4 linked regions of the Astyanax mexicanus genome follow. The protein of the gene in region 3 purifies or fractionates together with the protein of the main gene of each other region. This does not show direct contact. Links are inferred from orthologs where the notes say so. Each region holds a gene or a part of one and is shown on either strand. Other genes may lie near its edges. The genes, in order: rpl6, eif2ak2, stau1 and fmr1.

What was found.
Region 1: the proteins of stau1 (region 3) and rpl6 purify together in Homo sapiens (affinity purification with mass spectrometry; 4 studies listed by BioGRID and IntAct, with this or other methods). This does not show direct contact. The link is inferred for Astyanax mexicanus from reciprocal best matches to the Homo sapiens genes STAU1 and RPL6.
Region 2: the proteins of stau1 (region 3) and eif2ak2 purify together in Homo sapiens (affinity purification with mass spectrometry; 4 studies listed by BioGRID and IntAct, with this or other methods). This does not show direct contact. The link is inferred for Astyanax mexicanus from reciprocal best matches to the Homo sapiens genes STAU1 and EIF2AK2.
Region 4: the proteins of stau1 (region 3) and fmr1 purify together in Homo sapiens (affinity purification with western blotting; 3 studies listed by BioGRID and IntAct, with this or other methods). This does not show direct contact. The link is inferred for Astyanax mexicanus from reciprocal best matches to the Homo sapiens genes STAU1 and FMR1.

Annotation. Positions count from the first base shown.
Region 1 is NC_064419.1:277,058-285,585, reverse strand, and holds the start of rpl6 (60S ribosomal protein L6), read left to right. Parts: upstream 1-5,000; 5' UTR 5,001-5,019; intron 5,020-6,164; coding exon 6,165-6,314; intron 6,315-7,342; coding exon 7,343-7,441; intron 7,442-7,873; coding exon 7,874-8,017; intron 8,018-8,528. Other genes in the region: acaa2 (3-ketoacyl-CoA thiolase, mitochondrial), read left to right, coding at 850-997, 1,072-1,247, 1,893-2,022, 2,110-2,180, 2,273-2,427, 3,140-3,224.
Region 2 is NC_064414.1:2,504,697-2,512,475, forward strand, and holds the start of eif2ak2 (interferon-induced, double-stranded RNA-activated protein kinase), read right to left. Parts: upstream 3,313-7,779; 5' UTR 3,015-3,312; coding exon 2,905-3,014; intron 2,061-2,904; coding exon 1,919-2,060; intron 1,520-1,918; coding exon 1,383-1,519; intron 1,298-1,382; coding exon 1,165-1,297; intron 437-1,164; coding exon 384-436; intron 153-383; coding exon 1-152. Other genes in the region: gpatch11 (G patch domain-containing protein 11), read right to left, coding at 4,140-4,198, 4,331-4,412, 4,506-4,613, 4,991-5,081, 5,580-5,700, 5,777-5,818, 6,703-6,929, 7,695-7,744.
Region 3 is NC_064412.1:10,366,390-10,374,545, forward strand, and holds the start of stau1 (double-stranded RNA-binding protein Staufen homolog 1), read left to right. Parts: upstream 1-4,865; 5' UTR 4,866-5,066; intron 5,067-7,011; 5' UTR 7,012-7,148; coding exon 7,149-7,344; intron 7,345-7,524; coding exon 7,525-7,646; intron 7,647-7,758; coding exon 7,759-7,936; intron 7,937-8,156. Other genes in the region: pbrm1l (polybromo 1, like), read left to right, coding at 1-199, 309-500, 956-1,120, 2,264-2,322, 2,804-3,008, 3,098-3,261. UniProt on the Homo sapiens protein: Binds double-stranded RNA (regardless of the sequence) and tubulin.
Region 4 is NC_064417.1:21,672,995-21,681,160, reverse strand, and holds the start of fmr1 (synaptic functional regulator FMR1), read right to left. Parts: upstream 3,452-8,166; 5' UTR 3,193-3,451; coding exon 3,142-3,192; intron 738-3,141; coding exon 685-737; intron 1-684.

The sequences.
Region 1 (8,528 bases), on a different chromosome or scaffold from region 3:
AATAAGAGAAAAGACTTTATCAGTTTATTTCTTCACAAACTGCCTGTATTTGTTTGTTTACCAAAACCTAGCTCGAGTAGCTCTGCTAAGGTAAACTCCTGATTAGAGTAGCACTGTGTAGGTAAATTCTTCATTAGATTAGCAATGCTAAGGTAAATTCTTGATTAGAGCAGCACTGAGTAGGTAAATTCATGATTAGAGTAGTGCTGCAGAGGCAATTTTTAATTAGGGCAGCGCTCCCGAGGAAAACACATGATTAGTGTAGCACTACTAAGGTTTGTATGCTGAGATATTAAAACTATTATTAAATTTAAGTTTTTTTTTTTAACTGCATTATGTGACAACAATGTGTTTAGTTTATGTAATTGATTCAGTGGTGATAAAAGTGACAAAATGAATGACAGAACTTTAAAACAGTGTTCTGTATTCGGACAGACTTTTTATTTTGTAAAAATAATGATTTATGTACAACACTCTCTAGGAAGTAGTGTTAAATTTTTAATAAAATACAAATAAAAAGTAGTCTCATTAAAAGGTTTAGAGAATGACTTCTAATATTCTGTTCTAAAAATAACATCCTGTGTTTGTGTGTGTGTGTGTGTGTGTGTTTGTGTGTGTGTGTTTGTGTGTGTGTGTTTGTGTGTGTGTGTGTGTGTGTTTGTGTGTGTGTGTTTGTGTGTGTGTGTGTGTGTTTGTGTGTGTGTGTGTGTGTGTGTGTGTGTGTGTGTGTGTTTGTGTGTGTGTGTTTGTGTGTGTGTGTTTGTGTGTGTGTGTGTGTGTTTGTGTGTGTGTGTTTGTGTGTGTGTGTTTGTGTGTGTGTGTTTGTGTGTGTGTGTGTGTGTGTGTCAGCTTGAGGACACTCTGTGGGCGGGGCTCACTGACCTCCACATAAAGACACCGATGGGCGTCACAGCAGAGAACCTGGCAGAGAAATATCAGATCAGCCGGGAGGACTGTGATCAGTACGCCTATCAGACTCAGCAGAGATGGAAAGCAGGTGAATTTTACACTGCAGCACCAGTGCTTAACTCACTATCGGCTCGTTTCTAACCCGCCTGTTTCCTCCTGCAGCTCACGAGGCCGGATACTACACCGCTGAGATCGAGCCCATCGAGGTGAAGGGCAAGAAGGGCAAAGTGCCCATGACCCACGACGAGCACCCCCGTCCCCAGACCACGCTGGAGCAGATGGCCAAGCTGCCGTCCGTCTTCAAAAAAGGAGGAACAGTTACTGCAGCTAATGCTTCTGTGGGTATCAAAATAAAACACATTTTACTGTTTATTATTAACTCACCTTAAAATTAATACATATTAAACACAGAGAGAGAAACTGTATAGTGTACGCTAGGGGTGGGAGATATGGCCCTAAAATAAGAATTTTATCAGGTTTGTAACAGAAGTCAATGATCCAGAATATCATGATACTAATAATAATAATGCACTCCAAATATCTCCATATATCCAGGATTAAAGTAAAATAAATGATACTGGACAGATATAATCTGTCTCTAGTAGATATATAATTGGGAAATGAGAACAGTGTGGGACTGGGGACTGTTTACATTAACACGTGATTAATCTGGAGATTTTAACACGTTATTTTCAATGGCAATAATCACGTGACAAAATACACAGAGCCCACTTCAGTATTACTGGTTTAATTTGTGTTTAGAAAGTAGATTACTTTTTAATTTATACTGAAATTTAGAGAGTAATAAATAAACACAGAGCACACATCGTGTTTCCACTGTGTTGTTGAATGTGGAATATGGAGCTACACTTATAGTAGCATCAACACTACCAGGTCTGCCAGAAACACCACACTACACCACTAGTGTTACATAAATGATTATAAACATTGTTTTTCACACTTTAAACAAATCTTTCTCTCAGGGTGTGTCGGATGGTGCGGGAGCCGTGGTTATAGCCAGTGAGGATGCTCTGAAGGAGCACAAGCTCACCCCATTGGCTAGAATCGTGGCCTATCACGCCTCAGGCTGTGATCCCAGTATAATGGGCATTGGTGAGTTATAATCATGCACTTAAAACTGAATAAAAAGTAGAAAAATAGTTGTTTTCTCTTTGTAAAGTGAATTTAATCTCCCTGCAGGTCCTGTACCTGCTATAACTGCGGCTCTGAAGAAGGCGGGACTCTCACTGAAAGACATGGACCTGGTGGAGGTGTGTGCATCAGTTTGATTTGATTACTCATGTCATGCAAATGTGTTATTCAAGTTTTAGATATTTAATCCAGGTTTTTGTTTGGTTTTCAGGTGAATGAAGCTTTTGCTCCTCAGTATTTAGCGGTTGCTAAAGCTCTGGGACTGGACCCAGCGAAGAGTAACGTTAACGGAGGGGCTATTGCTCTCGGACATCCACTCGGAGCCTCTGGAACCAGAATCATCGCACACTTAGTGCATGAGCTCAGGTAAACAGACTTTTAATGTAGGGAAGGAAGTCCTAAATGAGGGAAATCGCTCTATAAAATCAAACTGGTGATTCAGTTTTAGTCACAAGCTGTGGCTGAAGAGGGAAACAAGGTAAAATAAGAGCTCATTTTTACTCATTTATCTGCAATTTAATCAGTTAGACACAATTGTTCAGTGTTTTTTAGGAACTGTGTGCAGGGTGTGATATCCCAAAATAGCCTAAATATAATTAACAGGGGAATTTTTAAAAATCTTTTTGATCTATTAAAAACATTTGTAATGATTCGTTATCATGAAGCCATTGATTTACCCTTTCACCTTTTCTAAAAGAGACTTTAAGCTCTAAATCAGGTTCACTGGGGGGAGCGAGTGCTGTGCGTGATCAGGCGTACTGATCATTTTACCAAATTGCTTATAAAAGTCTTGTTAAATATGTCTTGTTTTAAAGTTTGGGGCTAAAAACAAATAATAATAATAATATAAAATAAAAATGTTATATACAGGCTTCCAAAGCCCATTAGAAAATTTAAACAAAATATATTACTTTTAATTTTATTGGATTTTTTTTTTTTTACAGAATATGTTGAGTCTTTTTTTGTGTGCATTAAACATAGGAAACATATAGGAAGTGCATAATTCAACTTCTGAAAGGAACAAAAGAATTTAAATAATAATCACTTTAAATAAATATTGTGTTTTGTTTGTCTCTAGACGCCGCGGCGGCCGGTATGCTGTGGGCTCAGCCTGTATCGGAGGAGGACAGGGCATTGCCATAATCTTGGAAAACACGAAATAAACAGAGCGTTAATCATGTATATGTTCATACAGACATCATGTTTAGACACCATGATTAAAGAACACTCCACAGAACTCCGCCCACCTGCCAATCATCATTAAATCACCATGATCTTCAAATAACATGCATATGAAAAAAAAAACATCTTTAATAATAAATCTCTGAGAACTCTTAATGTGTTTATAATGTGAATTGTGTGACATTAAAAACAACTTTGAACACAAATTAATCCTGTTAACAAAACTACAGAGTCTGGGGATGCATCAGCGCTTTTTTTAGTTTTAGTGCTGTAAATCTCGTAAAGTTCTTCAGTGTGGAATATGGAGCTACACTAGTGTTTATTTCCTCCTTCAAACCTCTCAGTTAAACTCAGTAACTCATCACATTACAATATTCCCATTTAAAAGCATCAAAAATACCCTGAGATTATTTAGTACATGGTAAAAATAAAAATCGGGATCTTTTCTGCCAGAGCTAAACCACACTTCACTATTGTTATGGTCTCCCTCCCGAACAGTATTTTTATACATAAAAATCACATTTAATCACAAGTAATCAGTAGAAATACTCCAACATTAACTCTAAATTGTTCCACTGAAAGGTTTTCATTCTTCTTCTGTAAAAAATAAATGCAGTTTTGAAAATGTAAATCCTTGTGTTCTGTTTTCCAATAAAGAGAGCAAGTGCAGTGAAATGTAATGTAATAGTGGTTTTGCATTTTATTTTTATTTACTTATTCTGCAGGTCTGTGTGGAAAAGCAATGCATCTTGTAGATTGCATTTACATTTTTCTACAGTAGCGTTTGCTTTTCAATTTGGCAGTAATTCCTCTTTATATTTACAGCAGCTGTGAATATATATATATACAATCTTTAGGTCTGGAGCTCCGCGTGGTGATGAGAGTGTTGGCCTACAGGGGGCAGTCTGACTCCTCCTGCCGCACGAGCTCCACAACAAGAACCGCAGAAAAAGAGCCGAAACACCAAAGAGCCGGAATAGAGGATAATACCCACTGCAGAACATCTTCAGTATTTGTCCCGAGTGAGTCCAGAAAAAATGAGTGTGTTCATGTGGAGCAATTGAGAAAAATCCTATTTTATAAACGTTAAATAATTTTAAGACTGAAACACAAAGCAGTGCAAAATGTTTGAGAATTGCAGGGGTTATTTTATAAGCTTTTAAACTCTCCAGCCAAACCATTACAGCTCAAGGGAGCAGAAATATAGTGCATTTACTGCATAAAATTGTTGATGTTTTGATGTCTGCTGTAGAAAAAATGACAAATATGGTTACATTTTCTATTAGATTTTTTTTAGCAAAATGCATTTTTATCCTGTTATAAAAAAAGTTATTTTATTTTATTACCTGTTTAGCCCTTTCAGACATGAATTATCTCTTTCATTTTGACCTTTTTATTTCATAAACCATCCCTAAACAGGATCTGTCACTACTGTTTATCCAGAGTTTTTGCAGTAGGCGGAGCCAAGCTACTGTTTCATTAATTTATAAACTTGTTCATTGGCTGGTTGATGGTCTATTCTGATGGACAACAAACAGCTCACAAATAGTGTTGCAGTTTGTGCAACAAAACATTAAAAAATAAAGAAAATAAATGATGTTTACTGTAATGGATTCAGGGTCTCGGTCTCCCGCGCGGGCTCCCTCTAGCGGCTGGCGGTGATTCTCCGCCATTTTGAAGTGGTCAGTCTCGCCCCATAAACCAGCTCTGTTTACACGTCATGCGCGTATATATAGGTGAAAGTCCCGGATGTCGGTCTTTTTTCCCTAGCTTAAGGTAATCACGCTCTCCATGGCGATGTTCTCTCAACACAATCTATAATCATCCGCTTTATCGGGGCCGCGCTGTGGGTTTAGAGCTTGAGAGAATGTGCTGTGGAGTTTTTAAGACTCTAATATGTGAAGATTTCGTGTGTAAAGAGTGAATTTAGGGATTAGATGATGTGTTTTGTGGGAGCGGGCCGCGGTCCGGCTGAGTGGAGCGGTTAGCGGGCAGCACGCAGTCGCTCCGGGCTCGGTTCCGCTGGAGCTTCCGCTGAGCTGCTGGATTAATTTTATTATTATATTTATTATGAGTTTAGTAGTGTATCTGCGGTTCTGTAAAGTGTGTGTGTGTGAGCTGTGCCGCTAGTGTTTAGTGAGTGTAATGTAGTGAGTATGCTATGCTAAACTAAGCTAGGCTAACGTTATATTCTCATTTATAAACAGGACAGTTCTCTTAGAGTAATTTATACTCGTTTACTTGCTGTTTAATGTATATAAAGTTCGTGATATTAAGCTTAAACTGCTCATAAATCAGATTATTCTGTTATTTTCTCTGTGTTGCACCTGTGTGATAGTTGTGGTATAGCTAGTTGCGTCAATATACGAGCTGTAGCCTTTAAATGACTGTAAAAGTGTTTTATTTTAGCTTAGTTTAACACACTGGCTGTAAAGTTATGCTTTAATTAAAGACATAGAGCTATGCATTTATATAAGGCTATTTTATTTTAGTTAATACAGTTTATATGTTGATATGAACAGTATAATAACCCCTGACCTTGGTGTAGCTATGCATGCATTAATAGTGCTGGGAGATGATGGAAAAATATACTATTACAGTATTTATGATTAATCCTGTGCTGCACAGTATTTAGTATTTATCATGTTTGACTCTCAAAATGCACAAGCAGTGGCAGACTCTTAAAAAAATCTCTGCAAAATCCAATACACTTTAATGCAGAGTACATTGATTTTACATATGATAAAAAGATGAGTCTTATTATTATTATTTTTAATATACACTATATAATGAAATACACTGTTATATAAGTGTTGGTTAAGTAGGGATTGTATGCATATTGTTTTTTTGTAGAAATTAGTGCTTTGGGGAGGTATTGGGAGGTTAGTTTGATTTTGACTGATGATGTAATTTGGTTTCAGATGGCTGAGGGCGATAAGAAGAAGGTCGCCCGTAAGGCGCACTGCAGCCGTAACCCCGTCTTGGCCAGGGGCATCGGCCGCTTCTCTCGCTCCGCCATGTTCGCCAGGCGGGCCATGTACAAGAGGAAGACCAAAGCACCTGAAACCAAGGTACCACACACTCACCTGTCCCCCAGTCCTCCTGCTGCAGGATTTCTATTACAGGGTTCCTGCAGGTCTTAAAAAAAACTTAAAAACAGGCAGATTCCACCAAAGATCTTAAATTAGTCGAGTGTTGATGATCTGTGGCACAATCAGATTTTTAGTTATTAATTATTTCTAATTCTTTAGTTTAACTTTTAATATATCGTTACATGGCATATCTACATCAAATACAAGGTATATAAGTGGGTTATAATGAAAAGTGTGTGTGTGTGTGTGCGCAAAAATAAGTGTTTGGCTGTTTGATCTCAGTGCGTTCTTGTTAAACACAAACTTACTAAAGTTGTGTTTGTTGATTTTTGGCAACGTTCTGCAGGTTAAACTTTCTTTCTGTAAATTATTAGGTTCAAATGATCAGTATAACAAAATTCAGAATAGAAATGTAGCTGTATTTAATAGATCCACAGTGATTCCCAAGCTTTCAAATGTATTTCTACATTGTATTCCGAAAAATAAAATTCTTGCCAGAGACATTTAAAGCTTTACTCTGTCTAATCAGAAGTTCTGTGTTTCTGGGGGCTGCTGGTGTTTATACCGGTGCTGAAATACAAATTCTATAATAAACAGAGGAGTCCCAAAGAAACGGACCTGTTTACCCACTACCTGTCCGTCAAACACTGACTTAATCACCAGAATACTGAGTTAATTCAGCTTCTGAAAACTGTTTCAGTCAGAGTTTAATTGATAACTACAGAGGTTCTTGCAGTAGTGTTTTGTAAGTGGTCTCCAGTAATCAATATAAATCTCACTGAACTGTAAAAGAAGACAGTTCAGTTGGGGACCTCCGTGTGAAGATTCACTGAGATTTGGCTTAAATTTAAAAAGCCCTACCAGATATGAAGTCTGTTCATAATGAATTATGGAAATGGTGATAATGCTGATATAATTATCTAAACTTTATATTTAAGTAGTTTTTGCTTGTTTTGTTTAACTGTTAAATCGATCAAGTTGTGATTAATTCATGTTCTGTTTTTTAGATTGAGAAGAAGCTGAAGGACAAGACCCCCACCACCGCCGTCAAAACTGTTGGTGGAGACAAGAATGGAGGCACCCGTGTCGTCAGACTGCGCAAGATGGTAAATAGACTGGAATTTGTTTTTATTGCTTTTATTTTATGAGTTTTAGGGATGCAAAATAATTATATAGGATGTCTAGATATTTCAAACCAATATTTGTTGATTTTAGTATTGTAGCAGAATCACTTGCTGCTTATTAACATAAAACAGGCCAAAACTGACCATGCTAAGTGGAAAAATTAGCTTATCAATATATTCCTTTTTTTATTAGTTTTAAAACTTTGTCGCATCATCACACCCTGTATTTTTTTAAAAAAGTCTTTTAAAGAGGATCAATCAGCTAAAAAGGGAACAAATCTCAGGAGAAACCTTTTTAATTTTATTGGTTCTGTACAGTTGGTTAAAAGCTAAAATGTACGTATGTATGACTAAGTTATATTGAAGTGTTTATCTGCATTGTTGCATGTTTAATGTTCCTTATCCTTTTTCCAGCCCCGTTATTACCCTACGGAGAATCCTCCCCGTAAGCTGCGGAGTCACGGCATCAAGCCCTTCTCTCAGCACAGGAGGAAGCTGCGCTCCTCAATCAGCCCTGGAACTGTGCTCATCATGCTCACCGGGCGCCACCGCGGAAAGGTACCAAACCTTAACACTCTTATATTGTATGTACAGTTATTGCATGTTTATTACAGCTTATTACACTCCAAACAATCACTGATTGGTGGAAACTTCACACTAGACCTCGAGCAGTTTGGACTGTGTGTCTCTCCACTCTTCCTCCAGACTCTGCTCCCTTGATTTACTTTAAATGAAATGTAAAATTTACTGATGATCAGTGATGGTTTAGAGAGTCATGTCTGTCATCTGCTGGTGTTGATCCACTGTGTTGAATCTGAATCAGCACTTTATGCTTCTCTCTCCTGACAACTTTTATAGAGCTGCAGATTTCATTTTCCAGCAGGACTTGGCACACTGCCCACACTGTTTAAAATATCTATTTTCAGCTGAATTACTGAAAGTAACTTTAATTATATTCTTCCTGTATCTGTGTTGGAACTTGAACTTGATGCACATTGAAGTGCGGCTCGCTTTTTCAGTCTCATTTCTCTAGTAGAAAATAAACTGGTTATTTTAAGTTTGTAATAAA
Region 2 (7,779 bases), on a different chromosome or scaffold from region 3:
GATTGTGGGCGGGTCCTCTTTTGTCTACCAGTTTAAAGTCCCAGGCTTGACCACTTTTCTGACAGTAGTGGTTCAGTAAACCTTTAAAATTATTATCTAATCCAGAGCTCTCAGAAAGGCTGTGGCTCAGGGATAGACCAGTCAGGGAGTAGCTAAGAGAAAACAAAATAAACAGGATTATTCAGGTTTTCACAGAGTTTAAATCAGTGTTACGTAATTAAACATATGGAACAACTGTAAGATGATTCCTGATTCATGTTTCTTTTTTTCCGCAAAAGTTAATAGTTAATTTAAATAAAAAAATTAAGTTAAAAATTTCAGTTTTTAGGTCCAGGTCTGTACACTGTAATACTGGTGTTTAAAAGTAAAAAATCATTACTTACCCGAGATCTGACATGCTCGGTTGTTGTGTCTCGTTTGTCCTTTCACCGGGAACCTTCAATATAAATTATTGTTAAAATCACAATCATAACTTTGAAGTAGTTTAAAGTTTAAATAAACTAGAAATATTAAGACACACAGTTTCATTAAATACATTTACATGAACACTAAGCATTAACTATTAACACTGTCGAAAAAAATTAAAAAGTGCTATACATAAAAAAAGTAAGTAGCGGTATCAGAATGAGGTGGTCATAATAATCTGGCAATACAGAAATCTAAAATCATCTGAGTTTTAATTACAATGTTTTATTAAACCAAATGTTTGGAGGTGATTACTAACATTCGTTAGCTTGTGGCTAATAAGCACTTAAATCCTCATAGACTGGCTAGCAGAAATTAGCATTACTACAGCGATGGTCAAAATAAGATGAGAATTGACTGAAAGCTGAGTGTTTTATTTTTGACTTGATGGATTTTTTCTGGTTATTTAGAGTTACGACTATTACATGTTCTGCTTCTCATATTTCACACTCATATGACCATTAAATATTTGGCAGGTCATACAGGGATTGTAATTATTGGGACTGGGACAAGGATTGACTGATTTGCCTATTGTGATGTACCTAAATTCTTATTTATTAAGCTACATTAGCCGTGCATATAGCATTTTGAAATGTGATAAAAGTTTTAAAACACAAATGTAATGTATTTTTCTTTTTTTTTTTTACAATTTCAGTTTGTAACACTTTATAACACTTACAAAAACAGTAAGTGACTGACCTCAGCGTTATTCTCCCCATTAATTGCTTTATACACGAGTTTAGCCGCCTCCTCCTTCGCATCCCGCTTTACTCTGCAGACGGCTGTCGGATATTCTTTATCACCACAAACAAACTTACAGGCATACTGTATTCTGAAAAGAAAAATCACATAAATAATATTAAATACCGCCTCATTATAAGTAGGTTTAATTTAATTTGAGGTGTTTAGATACTTGCTGATTGTTGGAGTCCAGCGGCATCGACTCGACGAACTTAAAATTTAATCTCATCTTCTGACCGTATTCATTCAGCCAGCAGGTAAAGTTGGCTTGAGTCAGCTTTGGTAAACCATCGAGTGAGCAGGGACTGGTTACCTGTAGATGTAAATATATATATATATATATATATGCATATATTTATGTATTCATGTTTACATTACATTACATTACATTACATTACATTTAGCAGACGCTTTTGTCCAAAGCGACTTACAATAATCAAGTACAATGTAAAATAAGTTTAAAGGTAAAACATCTTTGGATAGGGATAAAAGGAGGACAAAGGGGAATAATAGGATAGAGGAGTGAAGGAGGGGAAGAAGGAAATGAGGTTAGAAGTAGTTAGTGTGTTAGAGGTGTTAGGAGAGTAAGTGCTCTTTGAAGAGCTCTGTCTTCAGGAGTTTATTAAAGATAGCGAGAGATTCTCCTGATCTGGTAGTGGAGGGTAGTTTGTTCCACCATTGTCTTTTTCAGGTGCAGATTTTCTCAACTAACCACCACTTTTGCTGTACTAGCTGGCTCCTCCTCCTGTATGAGACTGAGGGCATTCTTAGCAGCATTTTGCCTAGCTTCTTTCTTGTTGCGTCCGACGCCTTCAGGATAGGGTTTATTATTCACCACCGCCCTCACGGTGAATCTGAAAATTACATTAAAAAAATATATATATATTACTGTTTTAAAGGTTAAACATTTTAAAGCATTATACTTAAAGTTTATTTTCTATAGGGTGATCCAAACAGGTTCAACAGTAGCAGGGATATTAAAAAATACCAATAATAATAATAAAAAAAACGAATTTAATCATAAATATTACAAACATAGATGAGGAGTTTTATGGATTTTTGTTGTTGTTTAGTACGTATGTCAAATGCATTTCTTTAGAATGTAAAAACTGTAAAATTGTACAAATTAAAAAAAAAATCCTATGCCTTGATAGTGATAAAATGTCTCCATATAATCGCATTTTGACAAAGATTTAAATTATTTAAAAGATTTAAATTAAAATGAAATCAAAATCAAATCAGATTTATTGTCACATCACAAAAGTACAGATGTACAGGTGAGTGAAAAACTTGGGTGCAAGTTCCACTGATATGCAGAGACCTATATTTACAACATAGAGTAGAATAAGTAAAATAAAATAGAAAATACACATAGCAACATTACCGATTAATACAAAAATAGTTATTGTAACAAAATAATAAATTATAAAAATACTGCCACATCATAGAATTGAGGACTGGGACTTAAAAATATTACTATCTATAGAACTGCACCAACAATTAAAATATACAAATATGTAGTTTACAAATACAAAGTAGCAGATAAAACCATAAATATATCCTGTAGTTGTTCAATGTGAAGGGAAATCTAATGTCAATTTCTACAGAGAGTAAAAACAGCTGCTTCATCCGGGCTACAGTTCACCTGTACAGGTGTACAATAAGCTACAGTTAAGTTCAGGAATCAGGTGGACTCACATTTTGCTGTGATCTGGACCCTTAGTGTCCACATCCTCAAACCTGTAGGTCAGGCCAGTCTTCTGAGTGCGCTCATTCAGCAAAGCAATGTAATTACTGCTAGATGCCATTAATAAATCAATCAAAATAATCAATATAATCAATAAAATCAATAAAATCCAAACAGTCCAATCAGCAGCACAGAGTGAAAAAACACCAGAGATCAGTTAGTTTAAAGGAAACATAAATACTTTTTAATAAAATAATAAAACGCTGTAAAAAAGCTCCTGTGATCAGAGCTGAGCTCCGGCTGTCGCTCCTGATCTACAGAAACCTGCATAAGTTTCGTTTCTGATCAAAAACCTTCCCCTGCACGAGCCCGACTTCACACAGCCGACCAATAGAATCCGCCCGACGCGGGTCGCGTGTTACAGAGGGCGGAACTAGAGGAACACAGCAGCGGTTTCCAGCCGAGCCCCACGATGCAACGTTTTTTTTTTTTTCAAAATAAAAGTCCGATCTCGCCACTAATAACAGCGAGTGCAGCTCAAAAAATTAGAAATATGCTTGAAAAGTTACGTTATTTCAGTAATTCAGTTTAAAATGTGAAACTCATATATTACATGGATGTATTACACACAGAGTGATCTATTTTAAGCGTTAATAATCTTGTATTATATAACAATTATTGTTGATGATTATAGCTTACAGCCAATGAAAACCCAAAAATCAGTGTCTCAGAAAATTAGAATATTATATTAGACCAATTGGTACTTTTGGAGCAGTGTGGGCAATGTGCCAAGTCCTGCTGGAAAAAGAAATCCACATTTCCTGTAAAGTTGTCAGCAGAGGGGAACATTGTGTTGTAAGATTTTGCAGGAAATTAAAACTGCACTGATTTTAGACTTGATGAAACACAGTGGACCAACACCAGCAGATAACATGGATCTCTATTTCAGCAAACAATATACAACCTTTACTATACACAATAAATATACACAATAAACATGCTTCAAAATGTATAGTAACGTCAACTGAAAAATAAACATTTCCTCCCAAATTCTTACATTATTCCATCAGAATGTGATTTTTCACCTTTCAACAAACCAGACACACAATCAAAATATTTTTTAGAATTTATTACAAATAAATATTATTTGAATATCAAGACAAAGACAAAATTCTTCAGAACAAATTGAAAGAAGATAATGAAAACTAAAATTATACGACAGATGTGCCAGACGAAGCCTGTTGATTTAATCATTATGGTCTGCTGCCGTATCTCCAGGACAATTTGAGCTTAAATCCTCTTCATCTATAAAGCAAGAAACAATGTCTGATCATTATTTTAAAAAGCGATCAAACATTTATTATGATACAATCTTGTTTTTTTAGAAAAGATAAAATAAAAAAATGAACAAAAATGATTTTTTTATTTTTTGTGTACCATTGTATGCCGTTCCACACCATATGCAGTAGAAATGCACGTCCCGCAGGTACGAGGTGATATACTGCAGCTTCTCCAACGACTGAAACCATAAAGAAACAACACTGTTATCATATGTAAGCTGAATATTAATCATATTTATACTTCTTAAGTCAGCATGTTTATTTTTTTTTACCGTCATCTCCTCTTCATCACTCTCCTCATCACTGGACTCTTCAGGATGCTCTGCCTCCTCAGTGATCACTTCAGGCCAATACCAGACATCCTTCGGTGCGACTTTACCCTAAAACAGAAAAACAGGCATCACTGAGGCTGCGTGTGAACAGAATAAAATCGTTTTTTGTTTGTTTTTATTCTGATTTGGGCCACTTTCATATGTGGTTCTAAAATCAGACATGTGTCGTATTAGGGGCAATGCAACAATTTGTAATTCATACGATAAGTATTGGAAATGGACAACAGCAGTGAGGGAGGGTTTCAGTTGTGGGTGGGGTAGTGAAATAAATTATAAAGCTTGGGCTGCAACCACTTAGTGTTTCTATTAAAACAACTGAATCTGGACACTGGAGGCTGCGGCTACAGCGTCAAAGGTCAAAATCTTACTCACACATATAAAGAAGCTGATCAGATCTGATCATCAGATTATTAATTTTTTTTAACCTGCTGGGTGTCGAGTTGTTGACAGGCCCGCTGGCTCCGCCTCAGATCCGCCTCTGCCTGCTGCTTCTCTTTCTCCGACCTCTTACGATCTCTGTGTTGTAAACAGGTCTAGATTTAGTTATTTAAACACAAACACAAACTAGGGGTTGCACAACTAAAACAGTATTTTTTTTGTCTTGTAGAACTAAAAACAGTATTTTTTTTGTCAAAATGCACTCTAGAGGTTGCAATTTTTAGTTTTTAGTTTTTTTTTTAGTGTCGTCTAATGCTAATATAATCAATCAGCTATAGACGCCTCTACATTACTCTTGCAAATATTTACAATAAGAGTATATTAACAACAAAATGTTTCAACTAATTATTACCACACACTAGTTAAGATATTAATAATAGTTATTATGAATTACCTATTTAACTAATGTCTCAATTCATTATTATTTATAACATTTAAAATGTAAATAATGAAGTAAAAAACACAGCACCTTACTGTACACACAATATACTGAAACATAAATAACATGGTTAAAAACAGATCTAACTTATGCTGAACACTCCTGACCACATGCACCTCCCAAATACCGGTGCTCACCTGAAATCCTCCAGGTTTCGTTTCTCCATCTGTTTTCTGATCTGGACTTTTTTGCGGTGATGTTCCAGTTCCTCCGCAGCCTTCCGCTTCTTCAGCTCCTCCAATCCGATCCCACCTCTGTCTAATAAACACAAACATCAGGACCTTCCAGTCTAGAACATTTTAGATCAGACCCGTAACTCAGACACACCTCCTACCTGTTTTAATGTTGAGTGGAATCGGATCAACTCGCCCAGAACCTGCAACATAATAACATCTATTAATAATAATTAACTATTAGAGCACGGATGAACTGACCAACCAAAACACAGTTAACAACCATGTAAAATACATCTGCAAACACAATATTCTGCCTATAGATGGGGCTGATCAACCAGTAATTATTATGAATCTCTGTAAAGAGAGAAAATTGAACCTAATGTGTGCTGCCTACTGTTAAAGGCCTAAGCTTTATAGGGTGTAAGTCTTCATCAAATAAATACAATTGTAAAAAATAAAAATAAATAAATAAAATAAAATAAAATGTGGGTACACACGAGCTGTCATTGCAAATGATCAGTCACATGACTCCTCAACTGACCACTTTTAGATTAGATTCAGGGAAGCAATTCAAAGTTTTTGGACAATGTTAATACAAAATTAATGTCAATGTTTCTGATAAAAAAAAAATATGGATATGTTCATGAAGCTTAGTTATGAAAAATGCAATTTGGTCTTATATATATCTATATTTTATTTCACTCACACTTTTATAATCTGTCTAAAGGAAATATGCTTCAGTCTGATGTAGCATTGCCGAGTAGCATCACAGCGCTAACGTTTGGAGGAAAGCGCTGCGACTCGGTTCTGATACATCAGCTCACAGATGCAGTCTTGTGCTGATCCACATCACCCTAGGAGTGATGAGGAGAAAGAGCGCCATCTACTGTACCCACCCAGAGAGAGCAAGGCCAATTGTGCTCTCTCGGGGCTCCGGCAGCTGATGACAAGCTACATGACCGGGATTTAAACCAGCCATCTCCTGATAATAATGGCAGTGCTTTAGACTACTGGACCACTCTGAGCCCATCGATCTCCTTAATGTGACTGTGAATGTGATGTCAGATGTTTTTGCGTTGCTGACCCTCTCTCCCAAGTCCCTGTCCGGCCTTATAGCCCATCTTCTGTAACAGAGCAAAGCCCTTGTTCTCGGTGCTGATGGAGCTCTGCAGCGCCTCCTGCCGCTGCTCCAGCTCCTGCTGTTTGATGCTTTTCTGTCGATTCTCTACACATTTTTCTTTATGGAGATCCTCTCTCTTCCGAGCCGCCTTCTCCCGTTTCACCATCGGCACGCCGGGCCTGACGTCCAGCCTGGCTCACAAATCAGAACCATGTTACATCATTAGAATATATCTGCTTTAATTACATCATCAGAATATAACTCTGCTATAATTACATCATTGCAACATAGATCTGATTTAATTACATCATTACAATATATGTGCTATAATTACATCATCACAATACAGATCTCCCTTAATTACATCAATTACATCACAATATATCTGCTATCTGCAGCAGACAGTAATAAGTCTGTGCACAGTAATACCACATATTCATAACTGCATTTTTATGCAGTGTATAAATCCTGTATTTGAACTAAAGTAAAGATAGGGAAGGTAAAATATTACTGCAGTAAAAGGAAAAATTCTACATTGAGACAAAAGTATTTTGATGTCTGTTAAAATGATCATAAACATTAAGAAAAAAACTATTTCCATTAAATAGAATCAACTGGCTAAAAGTAACTTTGTTAGGTACGATATAATAAAATATATAATATAATATAATATAATAAATATATAATAAATATAATATAATAAAGTACGATATAATAAAATCACGCTGTACACGCTAATGAGTTATCTTTTCGTATCATGCATAATACAAAATATGTTCAACATTTTGCATTATACAGTTTAATATAGTTAAATATTAGAGTTATTACTGAGGGTGCTAATGTTTACTGTTAGCCTGTTAGCTTCTCACTAATCCTGATCTGAGCGTACTAGTCCTAAATTACTATTTGGCAGGGATTAAAACGCGGATTAACTGCAGATTATTCTCAACACTTACTGTGGGTTCAGAAAAGCATCAGACATATAATCCTCTTCATCTGAAGACATTTTTTTATTAACAAATACAGCAGCTTGTGGAACAG
Region 3 (8,156 bases):
ACACCAAAGTCAATGAAAGGTCTGTCCAAAAAAGAAGGAGCCAAGCGCAAAATCAACATGAGTGGCTATATCCTGTTTAGCAGTGAGATGCGGGCGGTAATCAAGGCTAGGCACCCAGATTATTCTTTTGGAGAGTTGAGTCGTCTTGTGGGTACAGAGTGGAGGAACCTGGAATCCACTAAGAAGGGGGAGTATGAAGGTACATTCATCTTGATTTAGCCCTTGATCTGTTTTAATCCCAGCATAATCCCAGACAGCACAAATTGTATCTTTAAAAAGTTGGTATCTTGCATGCTGTCTGTACACAGAAAGGGCAGCTAAACTCGTGGAGCAGCAGGAGCGAGAGAGAGCCTTCCAACAGCAGCAGCAGCAACAACAGCAGCTGCAGCTTCAGCAACAGCAGCAGGCTTCCCCAAGAGCAGGTACCCCAGTCGGGATGGGGGTGGTGCCTCCCCCAACTGCTATGGGGATGCTAAATCAAGCCATGCCACCTATGCCAGGTAACCCCAAATCCCATTCAACCCCTTTCCCCAAGACAATCAAGATGCAGCATCTGGGCACCCTCCAAAAAATCCCTTCATCTACTGACCTCATCCATAACCCAACTCATTCCCAACATTCATCAGTTATAACACACACGCCAGCACCCCCAAGTGTATCTAATATGCTTTGGTTCATAATGCTGGCGATTTTGTATGTATTGAGTGTGTAATAATTGATACTACTTCTGTTTATTGTTTTTCTTTTTTTGCATGGTTTCTGTCTTTCTGTAACATCACATGCAAATACTACTTCTTTTCTGTCATTTGTCTCTCCTAGGTTTGACACTTATGGCTCATGTTATTCATTCTAACTCACTCCTCTAGACTTTTATTTTGTAGTGCATGACTCCAGACACATTTGCATGTCACCGATGCATGGATTCTTTTGTGTTGTCTCTCCCTTCTCACCCAAGGCATGATGGGAAATTATGGCCCACCCTTCATGCCTATGCAGGGCCCTCCTGAAGGCATGATGGGTATGGGTGGCACGCCTCCTCACCCTATGGGGGTGCCCCCGCTGCCCCCTCAACACTACTTTCCGCCGGGCATGGCTGGGTACCCTGGTATGCCCCCTCCTGGTAAGAACAATCCCACAAGCAAGCAACCCACCACCCAATCAGGGACAAAGTTATGTTATAGTAAACGTCACTTTTTTACCCTCTATGACAAGAATGATATTTTAGAAAAGTAGAAAAAGGTTATTTTTTTTTTAAATAAATGTTTTGAAGATTGCAGATAAGAATCTTATATAAAATGTAATTTCTATTTTCACTTTTCGTAGCAAACTTAGCATTTTAATCAGATGTTTTAGAGCAAAGAAGCATGTATTCTTCCTGCATAATGGTGCCTGAAGTTTACAAAATAAAAAATATTGGAGGATATAAACAGCAGAATATACTTCTCTACATATTCTTACATAAAGGATTTTTTTTTATTGGCATGTCGTGTAGTTTTGAGGCTGGTGTGGTGGTGTTGGCTATGTGTGGATACCTACTTATTTAAATATTTCTTCTAGTCCTTCTAAAATATAGGCTAAATAGATAGCTCTGTATAGGTAATTACAATTATATGTTCTATTTAGAACAAAGTAAATTAATAATATTTTTTTTTACTGATTTATTTATTTATTTATGTATATACTCAAATTAAAACTAAAATTTTTGACTAAAAAGAGAATCCAGATTTCGGCATGTACCTTAAACATCTGTGAGCATTATTAAAAACAAAAGCAAGAAAATTCTGTCTTAGACCATAAAGTAATGTGGTCTTGCATTGGTGGCTGGTTTGCAGTAATCCGTGTGGCAGTAAACTTTTTTTTTTATTTTATTTTTTTATTTTTTTTTAATATAACTGCAATTGTCATAATTGATTGATTTATTATTACAGGTAGACGAATCTGTCTCATTCTCCCTTTACTGTGATATTAAGTTGCTGATGATGGCAGTGGTTTATTGTAGTTATTTCTCACTTTCTCACCTATCCAACTGTTGGACTTCTTTACAATCTTTACAATTTGCACATGCAGTCACCTTTATTCTACTAATAAAAGTTAGTTCTGTAAACACCAACTAACACACCAAAGACACACATCACACTAATTTACACCTTTTAATCAATGTAGACACATTTAGCAGTTGCTATTTAAATAAGCAAATCTATTAATAATCTAATGGATCGCCAAACGTCACCATCATTTTCTTTTTTTGATCTTTTTTTTAAAGGTGTATTGGGCCCTGTTATGAATGGAAGTCCTGGTCCAGGAAATCCTTACGGCCTTCAGGTGAAGATTAATTTTAAATATAAATTTTACTATTTACTTTGCCGCTTGTACAGGTACGAGTAGTACAGGTACATTTGAATTTGTTTGTACTCATTCCTCAGGTCAAGCATTTTATAAAGTTTTAAGAAACCTATCCATATATACATATTGTCTGTAGATGACCGTTTAAATACAAGTGTGCAAGATATCAGTATGTCTACGATGAGCACATAATTACAAAATGTGCGGGTTATAAAACAATGTTGAATTTGTGTAACAAAATAGTGTATCTGCTTAATACAGTAGACTAATCATAGTTTTCTGTTATCTTATTATCCCAGTCTTACTGTTGTGTGCAATCAACCTAACTGAAAAAAGAAAAAAAGCTGATTCTGATTGGTCCGTGATGTCTGAGGCTGTTTTCTTGATGTATTTTAATTTTAGTTCTAATGCTGTCTATATGCACAGTGAACTGCAGGTCTAATGCTGTTTCCTTTTGTAGATGGGTGCATACGGTCCAGGGCAGCCAGCTCCACCGCCATATCCAAGCCAAGGTCAACCTGCTCACCAGCAGCCAGTCATGCCCATGTTTGTTGCTCCACCTCCCAAACCACAGAGGCTCCTTCATTCAGAAGCCTATCTAAAATACATAGAGGGGCTTAGCGCAGACAGCCCCACAATCAGCAAATGGGACCAGAGTCTTAAGGGTAATAGAGAAAATTAAGTGTCCAGATTGAAACCTGTTTATTTATTTTGAAAACATTGTTACAAATCAGTTTTTGCTTTTTCATTTTAGCTCAAAGGACAGACGGTCGCCTGAGCAGGGAGCAGGAGAGCCGTCTTCCTTCTCACTGGCTGAAGAGTAAAGGCGCTCACACCACAATGGCTGATGCGTTGTGGAGACTCAGAGATCTGATGATGAGAGACACTCTCAACATCCGGCAGGCCTACAATCTATAACCCTTTAAACTTTTGATGCTCAGGATCCTAATTTATGCAAGACTATACTTCAAACCAAATCTAATATCCTTTCTAAAGCAGCTGGTTGCTCAGTATGTTTCATAGCAATAAAAGAGTTCATCTTATTTTGTTTAGAAGTAAAGGTTTTAGTAATATCCGTGGTTACATTTATTAATGCACTGGAGTTGTCACAAATGCATTAGCTAATTTATAACTACTGATATGGAGTTGTCATATCAGCAGTGACTGAAATTTTTAGAAGAATTAAGATGAAATATGGTTACGTTGCTTCATTGTTTTGATCAATACATGTATTTTATTGGCTACACTTTTGTTGAGTTGAACAGATGTGTAGCGCTAACATCTCAGACACTGATATCTATGAAATATGTCTCTGGCTTTAACCACTTGAGGTCTTATTTATGATGTGAACACATCAGGTGGATTAATAATACAACAAGGTCGTATTTTACCAATCTTTTTTATAAAGGTGCAGAATAAGCTCTGTTTATCATTATTTTATTGATGTGATGTTTTTTGCATTTTGTATGGTCAGAAATAAGGCAGATGTGTGAGTTTGTACTTCAGTCCTTACCTGAATATTTCCACATAAAATTGACAATAAGAAAATACACTGTTGGTTTCTTTTCTTTATTTAAGCAATCGTGACTCTTTGTCATAAGGAGTATATTAAAGCCTCAAGAGTTGTACAAACAGTAGCAATAGAACTTAAAATGCAATGCCAAAGGGAGAATGGTTGTGGATTTAAAATATAATTGTCAGAAAAAATTACTGACTTCAGCAAGATGTGTACAAGAAAACAGGGTTAAAACATATAATATAATAATGTAATATGTATGTTCTGTATGCTTGTATTCAAGGATCGTTTCAAAAAGAGATCTCAACCCAAGCTTTTTACTTAAGTTATTGTATAAAAGTACTGGTTTAGCTATAGATATATAACAGTACCAGTCAAAAGTTTGGACACATTGTTTTGACACCAAAGCTGTACAGTAACATGTGGAATCATCCTGTAAACATTAAGGGTTAAACAAACCAGAATGTTTTTTTTTTATACTTTAGATTCCACATTTAGATACATTACCTTTGATAAATACAGTACTACTTCTAGAATGTTATCAAGAGAAAGATGGATGGTCTCAAGCGACTAAACAAAGCTGAACTGCTTGATTTTTTTTGCATTTTGCACTCAAAGGCAGCGTGTAAGTCTGGTGGAGAGAGCATGCCAAGACATGAAAGGTGTGATTAAAAATCTGGGTTATTCCACCAAATATTGATTTCTAAACTCTTAAACAATAAGTGTTAGTGTTTCTAAATGAATATGAGGTTGTTTTATTTGCATTTTTTGTTTGTTTAGATTATTTGTTTCTCATTTTCTGCAAATTGCTCTAAAAGCTCTAAAATGAATATTTCTGCTTGGAACTTGGGAGAAATGTTGTCTGTAGTTTATAGAATAAAACCACAATGTTTTTTTTTTTTTTACTCAAACATTTAACGTTAGCTATAAACATTAAAATAAGAGAAACTGGTCATTTTGAAGTGGTCTCCCCCCTTCTCAAACCTGCCTCGCATGATGTCACATCCTGGAAGTGGGCGGAAAAATAGGCAATTCTCTTTAGTGTTTGCCCTGTCCACCTTCTCCGCTCTACCTCACCTACATTTTAATTCAGAAACCCCCACAAAAAGCCTCCCATAAACCTGGATCTAAAGCAGGCCAGTGCTAAAGCTCAAACCGCGTCACTCATGGACTAATTCCCGGGCGGACCTGCAGTATATAACCCGAGGTGAGGAGCGGTAATGTGGCGGCGCTGAGCTGCAGAGCAGGGAGCAGAGCCGCTAGGTTAACTAACGCTAGCTCTGTTAGCTAGCTCCTGCTTTTTTTAAGCCCCCACCGGCAAATACCACACTGTACAATCCTGTACCTATAATAATGCGTTAACTGTGCGTGATGGAGACGTTTTATAGGTCTTAGACACGCAGTTGTCATTTGGCTGAAGTCTTGTTTTGTGTCTTAGCTGGCTAACAAGTTAACGTTAGCTTAGATAACCTAGCCATAGCTGTAACAATAGCTAGCATGCTAACCCAGTCTTTAGCTAGTTAACGTTAGCTATTTCCATCTGTTCTCTCTGTTTACACGGTAACAGTGGCTGGCTAATGCTTTAATTTAGGTTTACTTTATTTTCCTGGCAGCTGACACATTAATAATACAGTATATGTATGTATCTTGAGGTTTAAAGTAAATGTAACCTAGCTAGGATAGCTATTGTTATCTGTCAAGTTGTAGCATATTAATAGGTTTGCAAGCTTAACTAGACCCCTATCCTTGATTTAGTAAGTTAAAACTAACGTTATATATATTTAGCTTACGTTACCTAACCTAGCTGTCTATTTTTCATTGTATATTAGCTCCGTCGTTCTGTGTTGTCAGCTGCCTGACACTTATTCATTAATCTAACTAACTAACTTGCCCCCTATCCTTTCTTTAGCAAGCTAAAACTATAGTGAGCTATATAACAGCTCTGGAAAAAAAGAGACTACTTAATTATGTTTTCCCCTTGATTTTACTTAATTAAAAACATCTGTAATATAATCAAGAGGAAGATGGATGATCACAGCCATCAAACCAAGCTGAACTGCTTGATTTTTTGTTTCACCAGAGGTGGCATAAAGTAATCAAAAAGCAGTGTGTAAGACTGATGGAGGAGAACATGCCAAGATGCTTTAAAATCTAATAAAAAACCAGGGTTATTCCACCGAATATTGGTTTCTGAGCTCTTGCAACCTTATGAATATGGACTTGATATCTTGATTGTAGTTCAGGGGTTTTCAGTTTGGTAAAATCAAATAAACTCATCAGTTTTAAGTGATCTCTTAATTTTTTTTGCAGAGCTGTCTATTTAGCTATCTAGCAACTAGCTTAGCTGTCTAATTCCCATTGTATAACTTTGTTGTCTTGTGTTGTCAGCTGCCTGACACATCATTAATCCTTTTACCCTGGTCTTCCATGGTCAAGACAGGACACCAAAAAGACCACCAGAGAGCAGCTAGGCTACACAGAGCTAAGCTACTTAACTTAACTATTGTTTGGTGGTGGGTCATCATCAGCATTGCACACAGTGATTCATTGTCATACTGACGTGGTGGTTATGTGTTAACCTAGCTAGCTAGCTACTGTACTCGTGTTGTTTTGAATTAAGTGGATCAAATAAACACCTCACCACCTCACTGTCACTGCTGGACTAAGAATATTCCACCACCCATAATTATTTAGACAACAGTACTGTAGAGTACAGTTTGTGTGTTCCATTTGTGTAGTAAACTAACAAAAAAAACTAAAATGGATTTACTCCTTTTACAATGGACAGCTAAAATATAGTCTGTAATTAGTTATAGAACTACAAAGTGTTCTTGTATGAATAGAGCTTGTAATGGGCAGTGAGTGTATAAACAAGAAGGTGGTCAGTCAATACATCAGGACTTTGATGGCGAATAAGCACAGGAGCAGTTACTTTTTGTTTGCCATCCCTATCATCAGACGTATTCTTCTCAATGTTATGTAAATGCATATTGATATGCTTTGATTTTTTATTTTATATTTACATTAGGTAATAAGGTCTTAATCTCCATCATGTACGGAGTGTATTTACTGGACACTTGAATCTCATTGCTGTTGTACGTTGAATTATTTAAACATCCTTTAACATTTTTTTTATTCCTCACTTCCTGCAGGTAGAGCTTTGCAGTCTCCTTCCATTTAAAACACCTGCATTCACCTTTCCCTTGCACATTCTTGCAACCTCTCCTGTGCGCTTTTCTCCCTCCACAAGACTGCAAAGCATCTTCTGTATCCACACAATCCAGTCAAAATGTCCCAGGTTCAGTTCCAGTCCCCCACCACCACCACCACTATGGCCAGTTCTGCCCCTGTACAACTGACCCCACCCCAGCCTGGGTTCAGCATTCCCTCTCCTTCTGGCTCCCTACCTTCAGAGAGTGCCAGTCATCCACTACGAAGCTCCGCCTTGCCCTCAGCCTCAGCCACGCCCTTCTGTAACCCTACAGGTGAGTGAAATGTATATAGAAGACTAAATATAGTAATTACGTTATAAAGATGTGGTTTTAGTGTACTTTAGGCTCAGAACCTGTTCTGAATGTGGGAGTTGGTCAGATCTTCTCAAAAATACAGAAGTTATAGAATACAATGTAGCCTAATATTACTGTTTCCACTCTGTTCTGTTTCAGTATCTAACATGGCAAACCCTAAAGAGAAGACCCCCATGTGTTTAGTGAATGAATTAGCCCGTTACAATAAGATCCAACCTGAGTATAAGCTTCTCAGCGAGCAAGGACCAGCCCACTCCAAGGTACCACATACACATACAGTTCCTGAGACTTCTCTTCTGTTTGCTTAGATTATTTCTGCATTCATGTCCCTCATTTTTGTCTTTCTCTGTCTCTGACTCTCCTCTGTTTTAGATATTCTCTGTGCGGTTAACTCTGGGGGAGCAGCACTGGGATGCAGAGGGGACCAGCATAAAGAAAGCTCAACACTCTGCAGCAGCTTGTGCTCTTGCCCAGACGTCGCTGCCCAAACCCAGCAACAGAGGACCTCGCCATCAGGGCAGGAACCCAGGTGGGTTCTACAAGGGCGAGTGTACGTTCTGTTACATTCAAATTCTATAGTCTGTGGCTTCCTTACCATCTTCAGTCAGAAGAACTAATGCATGTTTGCTTTAAATAGCCTTTCTTTGATAAAACTTTTAAAATCTTTACTGGTTCTGATGGCTTGTTTTAGTTTGGATTTAACTTGTCATTATTTCAGTACAACTTAATTCTTTTGAGGTTTACATTGCATGCTGCTTATGTTATGTGAA
Region 4 (8,166 bases), on a different chromosome or scaffold from region 3:
AAGTTGTTTTCTTTGCATTATTTGAAATCTGAAAGCTCTGCATCTTTTTTTTTATTTTTGCCATTTCTCATTTTCTGCAAATAAATGCTCTAAATGAAAATATTTTTATTTGGAATTTGGGGGAAATGTTGTCTGTAGTTTATAGAATAAAACAGCAATGTTTATTTTACTCAAACATATACCTATAAATAGCAAAATGAGAGAAACCGATTCAGAAACTGAAATGGCCTCTTTTTTCCCAGAGCTGTATATCAAAGTCAAAATTATACTGCTATGGCATTTTCCCCCAAAATACTGTGCATTATAAAGTGCATAATAATGTCCATGAAATAATGATACAGTATGATTTACATTCTGAGACTTTGGTTAAGATAACAATGCTTATTTTTAAAGAAGCAGAATAGTTACATTCTTTAGTCAAATACCAAATACAAGTTCCTGTGTTCTTTTTGCACAGAAAAAACACATTTACTTAGAATGAGTCCATTAAGTTTACCATACTGACTCAAATATCATCTGGTACTGATGAGACTGATTTTATCAATACTGCTCAGTGTTTCTACAGACCCTCAGGTGCCACTGAGCTCCACTCAGCAAACAGCACAGCAAAATACACAGCAACCACTTTTCCTACTATGAAAATAAATTATCACTTATATCATCACAAAATAAGTGGATACTCACTTGTTCTCAAAAGCCACAGTGACTGTGTTTTCATGCACATCCTTTATTAAGGCCTGCAAGGAGAAACATTCAGTCAGTTTCTACACTGAAACTACTTTCAATATAAGCAAACAGTTATATACACATAATGTAAATTCCAGTCTTGAAATTCATGAAATGAAGTGATTTTAGAGAACTGCAATGTTAATGAAGATGGCAGAATTAACAGAAGGAGAAGAAGAAAAAATACATTATTTTTTAAAAGTCAATGTAAAAAGATTTTATTTCAATTTTGAGCATTTTATTGGTTCATTTGTCATGTTTTGGACCGCTCATTCCTTTTGAACAATTCATTTTGAGTACAAACAATTATATTGATATGACAAAATCTGAGATACAAGGTTTTTGTTTCTGAAGTTATACTGAAGTGTCTAGGCTAGACTAATTTATAAATGTGTATATAGAATTCACACATCAGGGCATCCCTACTTTTAAATTGCCTGCATGCAAAATGCAGGTTTAGATGTACTCTAAAGCTTGCACTGGGTTGCAGCATTTGAATAGATTCTGAGTAGTGTAGCACATACAAGTGACAACAATATAACCACCTAAAATAGGTGATCTATAGAAAGCACACAAAATGAAAAGGAACACGTTTTGCCCAGTATTCATCATTTTGCACTTTTTTCATCTTTGCCACATTTACAAAGAGCACCACACAATTGAATGACCTATGCTTTAATTAGTATTACATTGTATTCCATTAGTAAATTATGTGTAACATTAGACGACAGCTAAGCAGTAAAGCCAGCAGAAATATGGGGAAACTGAGAATTCTTACAAATGGTTTCTGTCTCTTAGATCTTACTTTAAAATAACAGAATTATATTAGTATATTATTATGACCTGTAATTGTGTTGAGCAAAACATTTTTAATTATCTCATTACAGCACATTACTCCATGCTGGTTACAATCTGATCAAATCAAATTCAGTCTTTCCTATTCATTTGGCCTAACACCAAAAGTGCTTTTTTTTTTTTTTTTTTACATTTTCAGCCCAATAATGTTGGTTGCCAAATACTCAGTGCATCAGTATTTGACTAAGTAAATCCTTCTCCTGTATCCCCTCTTTTTGGAGCTGCTTTACTTAGCTTGCTATATAACTACAAAACATCTACTATATCTAATACATTAAACACAATTAAGATTAAATTTAATTTCATTGTCATTGAAAAAAGTACTAGCCAAAAAAGCTCAATGAAGTTAACATCTAACCAGCAGAAGTGCAAATGATTGAAGATATGAATAAAGAAACTGAATGAACAGCGTGCACATACGGAACCATAAATGGAACAGGTCAAATGCAGCATCAAATGTTGTATAATTGTGTTAAATATAGAAAACATAAAAGTATATTTTCACTGTCCAATGAAAAACATGCATCTCCAAAACAACAACTATACAGGAGAAAGATAAAACCTTCCTAACTTTCAATGGAAGTCAATGTAAAAAGAGTTCATTTGAGGTCATTTCAAAGAAATTCTGGAGGTCCGTTCACAAAGAATTTTTGATAAATTGTAAAGGAACTGTTTTTTTGTTTAAATTATGTCGAAAACTAAAAAAAACAAAAAGGGAGATACGTGTTTTTCATTGTACAGCGACATATACAGATGAGAATATAGAAAAAAGTACACATTTACAATACAACATTTGCCTCCAGTTCTCTTACACTACCATGCTGTATGCACAGATAAGCAGAAGTAATAAGTAATATTAGCACATATAAAATAGCAGTGGCCAGCCAGACAAACAGGATCAGCACTGATCTAATGCCACAAACTTGTACAGAAATGAACAGGTGACACAGTGCTGACTGCTGGCCGCTCAGGACATGCCACACATAGGCTTCAAACACCAGCATAGCAAATGTAGTTAGCTGTAATGATGTGAACAGTCTTTACAATTCAGATAAACAGAATCCTAACTGAAACTGAAAGTCCTAATAATGAACAGAAGCAGATAAACCAGCTAACTATGAAGTCTGAGTCCCAGAATCACACAGTGTGTAGCACAGCCAGCTAACCACCATCCCCTGCAGCTCCCAGCATTACGAGCAATGGCAGCTAGTGGCCTAAAACCAGCCGTCCAGCCATTTTAGGCTTAATGTGAATCAAATGTAGCGCCCGGCTCTGAATTACAGGCTTAAAACAGCGTTTAACTGAAAGCTAGTGCAGACCAGACCCCGGTATACAGCGTTATGAGCGGCTGAACCGAGCTTAATGTACCGCAAACACACGCACTCTCACACAGCTTACATACAGACAGACTGCCCCGGCGGGCCGGGCCTAGCTACCGAGCCTGGACGGCTCCAGCCGCGCACGGAGCCCCGCAGACCCCCAGCGAGGCGCGCTGGGTCCCGGAGACGGAGCTAAACTCGGAAGCAGAGAGATAGAGGGGACGGAACGCAGGAGACTCACCTTATAGAAAGCCCCGCTCGCCCCCCGGACCTCCACCGCCAGCTCGTCCATGGCGCTGCTAGCTGCTGCTGCCCGCAGTGTAACAGTAGCTGCTGCTCTGGGTGTCTGTGGCTGCTGCAGCCGCCGCCGTGTGGTCGCGCCTCCTCCCGCTTCTCCTCTGCTGCAGGGCGGCGCGCTCGGTGCTTCTGTCGCGTTAGGCTGGAGAGCAGGGGGAACAGTGCATGGAGCCCCAGGCCGAGGCTCAGGCTGCTGAGGCTGCTGTTGCTGCTCGTCGCCGCTCCGCTCCGATGTAAACACGGAGACACAGCTCCCTCCTCCCTCCCGCACCTCCACACACACTCACGTGACCCGGAGCTGCGCACTACGTCAGTCCCTCACTCAGTCAGTCAGTCAGTTAGCGCGAGCACGCTCCCCTCATCAAACCCTAACTAATGCTGTCCATACACTAACATTAGATCAGGGGTGTCCAAACTTTTTTTGATGGGGGCCAGAAGGAGAAGTATATTTGAAGTGACGGGCCACAGACTCTGTATTAAAACAAATAATGAAATATACCACTTTTTTTTCCTGATTATTTCATTTACACACCATTTTACTTGACTTACTATCTTTATCTATCTTTGACAGTGTTGTGTAAACTAAGATTTTTCAAATTGATGTTTAATTTCATGATGTCTCTTAATATTAAAAAAAATTAAACAAATTTTACACTCATTTGCCCTTTTTCTGCGCTAAAACTGCTCACTCTCTCCGCTTATAGACTCTTTGCCCCGTTTTTCTGCGCTAAAACTGCACAACCTCGTCGCTTTTAGACTCTTTGGTCCGTTTTTCTGCACTAGAAATAAGCACTCTCTCTGCTTTTAGACTCTTTGGCCCGTTTTTTTGCACTAGAAATGAGCACCCTCTCCGCTTTTAGACTCTTTGGCTGGATTTTCTGCGCTAAAACTGCACAACCTCATCGCTTTTAGACTCTTTGGCCCGTTTTTCTGCGCTAAAACTGCGCACTCTCCGCTTTTATACTCTTTGGCCCGTTTTTCTGTGCTAAAACTGCGCACTCTCTCCGCTTTTATACTCTTTGGCCCGTTTTTGTGCGCTAGAAACGCGCACCCGCTCCGCTTTTAGACTCTTTGGCCCGTTTTTCTGAGCTAGAAACATGCACCCTCTCTGCTTTTAGACTCCTTGTCCCGTTTTCCTGCTATAACTTCACTCTCGCCGCTTTTAGACTCTTTGGCTGTTTTTTTGCGCTAGAAATGCGCACTCTCTCCGCTTTTATACTCTTTGGCCCGTTTTTCTGCGCTAAAACACCTAGCGTTATAAAAACCTGGTTAACAGCGGGCTAACTTTCATTCTATTTCTAAAATACCCCGCGGGCCGTAGTTTGGACACCCCTGCATTAGATGATTTTAGTCTGACACCCTCTCACATCTAAAGACAAGTCACAGACTAAAATTTTGCAAAGGCTGGGGATCACTATTTAAAAGATTGCTAGATTAACGTTACTAGATTCTTTCTAAGATTATTTATCGTGCTTCTGGTAGAGTTTACATACAACACATATTACGTATTAAGTTACAAATAATGTGTATATCAATACTGTGATTTATCAGAGACTCAACTTTTGTCCTTATCAACAATTACATTTTTTTTCACTCTGTTAGTTCTTGATATATGTATATGTATCATAACCTAGAATCGGATTCATCCGCTCTTAAAGTAGACTGCATCACACCTGCCCAGTTTACATTGATTCTTCCGCATGCTTGCTGCAATTACCCATTCTCACCAGAGAGGGCCAAAAACTTAAGCACATCAGCTTTAAAAGTACTAAACAGACACCAAAATACTCTGTGAAGCATTTAGGTGGCTCTTGTCTGTTTTTTAAGGCTGGTAACTCTGATGAATTTATCCCATGCAACAGAGAAAACTCTTGGTCTTACTTTGTTTTCTGGGGCAGTCCTGATGAGAGCCAGTTTCATCATAATGTTTTTGACGTGTGACTGCACTTTAGGATACTTTCAAACTTCTTCAGATTTTTCGGATTGACTGACCTTTATTTCTTAAAGTCATTTTATCTTTACTTAATTTAGTAATTCTTGCAATTGGAGTAATGGATTAGAACATTACTCAAATAGAACTATTCACTGTATACCGATTTACCTCTTAACAACTTTACAACTGATGCTCCCAAACACATTTAGAGGCAAGACATTCTTTAAGTAGTTAATTCTGGATGAGTTCAGCACAGCTGTTAACTGAAAGCCATTCCAGGTCCTTCCAGGACATTTTAATATGTGCAAAGTACCGTCTCAGCAAGAGGTTTGAAAACTGTTTGAAGAATCTAACAGATAAAACATATTCTGATTTGTTTAATACTTTTTGTTTGCTAAATAATTCCATGTTTTTCTTTATAGTTAGGATGAATTTAGTATTAACAGTATTATCTACAATGCAGAAATTTTTCAAATAATGATAAAAGCACTGAATTTAAGGTGTGTTTTGAATATTTGAATATAGGGTTATACTTTAAGGTCTCATCTTAATCTAAAATGACCTATAGTCCTAATTACCTTTAATTTCCTGCTTTAAAGTAAAGACTGATTCCAAGCTATCTATTTTTGTCATTAGAATGTTTCCTGAATGTTACAGTTAACATTCTTAGAAAGTTCAATCTGTCAAGTTTTCTAGATATTATTAGAATTCTTATTATTCTTATATATATATTTTTTATTTAACATTTTAAACATTATGGTATGGTTACTGCAACATCACTTGTTTTAATCGATGTTAAGTTTTGAGAATGTTGCTTTTAATGTTTTTATAATGTTAGTATTCATTTAGATGGGAACATTATGTGAGAAACATTCTAATATCATTTTAATGCAAACCATTATAATTTCACATGTTTTTAGAACGTTTCTGGAACATTATGCCTGTAATGTTAAAAGCTAACCTTCCTGGAACCTTTTTAAAAATAATGCAAAACATTTTCAGTAAGTTTTCTGTTAGCTTGGTATAGGCTTGTAGTTATTAAAAAAAAAAAACATGTATTTACCAAGTGGCATAGTGCACACCATCACTGTCCAATGAAAAACATTTGTCTTCAAATGTGCAGTTTCACAGGAGACAGATAAAGCCTTCTTAACTTTCAATTGAAGTCAATGTAAAAGGAGTTTATTTCAGGTAAGGAAAACAAGACCTTATAATAGTTACATCAACTATTAAATCAAATCAGATTTATTGTAACATCAGAGTGGTACAGGTGAGTGAAAAACTTGGGTGCACAATATTTACAACATAGAGTGGAATAAGTAAATAAAATAGAAAATATACAATTAATGTAATATGCAGTACAAAATAACTTGCACTGTAGATGTAATGTAAAATATAACTGAATATATAGTTATTACAATGCCATATACATGTGCAAATAATCTAGATTATACCACAGTTAGTTTCGACTCTGCAATGTGATTGGCTGAGAGGCGTTCTGTGAGTGCCGTTATCAGCCGGTAATGCTCTCCATGTATTACTCCGCCACATACACGTAACCTAGCAGTGATGCAGTGCTTACATGCCAATCAGCGCAGCTACAAACAGAGCAGCAATGGATCTCTTTTAATTCACATTCAGAGTTTTAAAACCAAACAGATCATATATATTTTTTTCGTTCTTGTTAATTTTCAATCTTTCAATAAACAGTGATAATGGATCTGTGGTATAAACGCAATAAAACACTAAAGGTTCGTGCTATAACGTGTAATATTAGCACTGCTGTGCACGACCGCAGCACAGCAGTGCCAATATTATGTATTATGTATTATGCAATAATACAATGCCCTTTTATGTATTATTGCTTACTGTAAGTATGTGTGCGGAAGTGTGGAGATAATTCAGGTGTAACTAGTATTAGTAACTATGAGTAAAGTGCAGGTACCGAGTGAGTTGTGTGGGAAGTACAATGTGCAGAAAGGATAGGTGCAGTGTGAAGTAAAATGCAGGGTGCAGTGAGTTTGTATGTGATGGCAGTGGTGTGGGTTGGGCAGAACACTGTTCTACTGGCTGTTCAGCAGCCTGGTCACCTGGGGGAAGAAGCTATTTCAGAACCGACTGGTTCTGGTCTTCAAGATTCTGAGCCTCCTTCTACTTGGCAGCTGTGAGAACAGGGAGTGGCTTGGATGGGAGGGGTCCTTCATGATCATTCTAGATTTCCTCAGGTGGTGGTTGGTGTATAAATCCAGAAGGTTTGATAGCTGAACCCCAGTGATGTACTGAGCTGTACGCACTACCCTCTGCAGGGATTCTTTCGCTCAAGAGCAGTACAGTTCCCGTACAAGGTGGTGATGCTGCCGGTCAGGTGTAGAAACTCCTGAAGATGATGGGGTTTAGACCCAACCTCCTTAGCCTTTAATAGGAATCCTGTTATGTTAAAAACTCTAACCCGAATCAATCATTTGCTATTCGATTAGAACACACACTCAGATTGGTGCCATAAGTAAGAAAATAAGTGAGAAAATCATGGTACTGTATATAAGCTGGTAAAATGATGTGTGTGCAGTGATGATGTTCTGTTTAAATGGATATATTTTCTTTAGGAATGTAGATTTCCTCTGTTGTGTTTTGTCTCACTGTGAACGTCACACAGGCTAATGGCGGTAGTAAAGGGCAGTGTGATTGAGATAAGGATAAGGACTTGTTTGTGTCCTTGTTTACAGTGTATCTCTAAATCAGATGTGCTGGTATGGCCTACAGTAGCAGGACTGTGGGGGGAATATGGGCGATTCCATCATTGTGTAATGAGGTGTAAAGTCACTTTGTGGAGATTATTAGAGAATCTGGAGCTGAACTGAGATCTGGGTGGAAGTGAATGTTGCAGACAGTCAATAAGAGGCACATAAGTGATCCATGAGGATCCACACCATTGTGTTCAGTTCTGTTCAAGAATTGGAGTACATTACTGTAGTTTGGATATGTAATGCAAATCAGCAATTTTGCGCATAGTTGTCAAATTTCAAATTTGCATCTTAT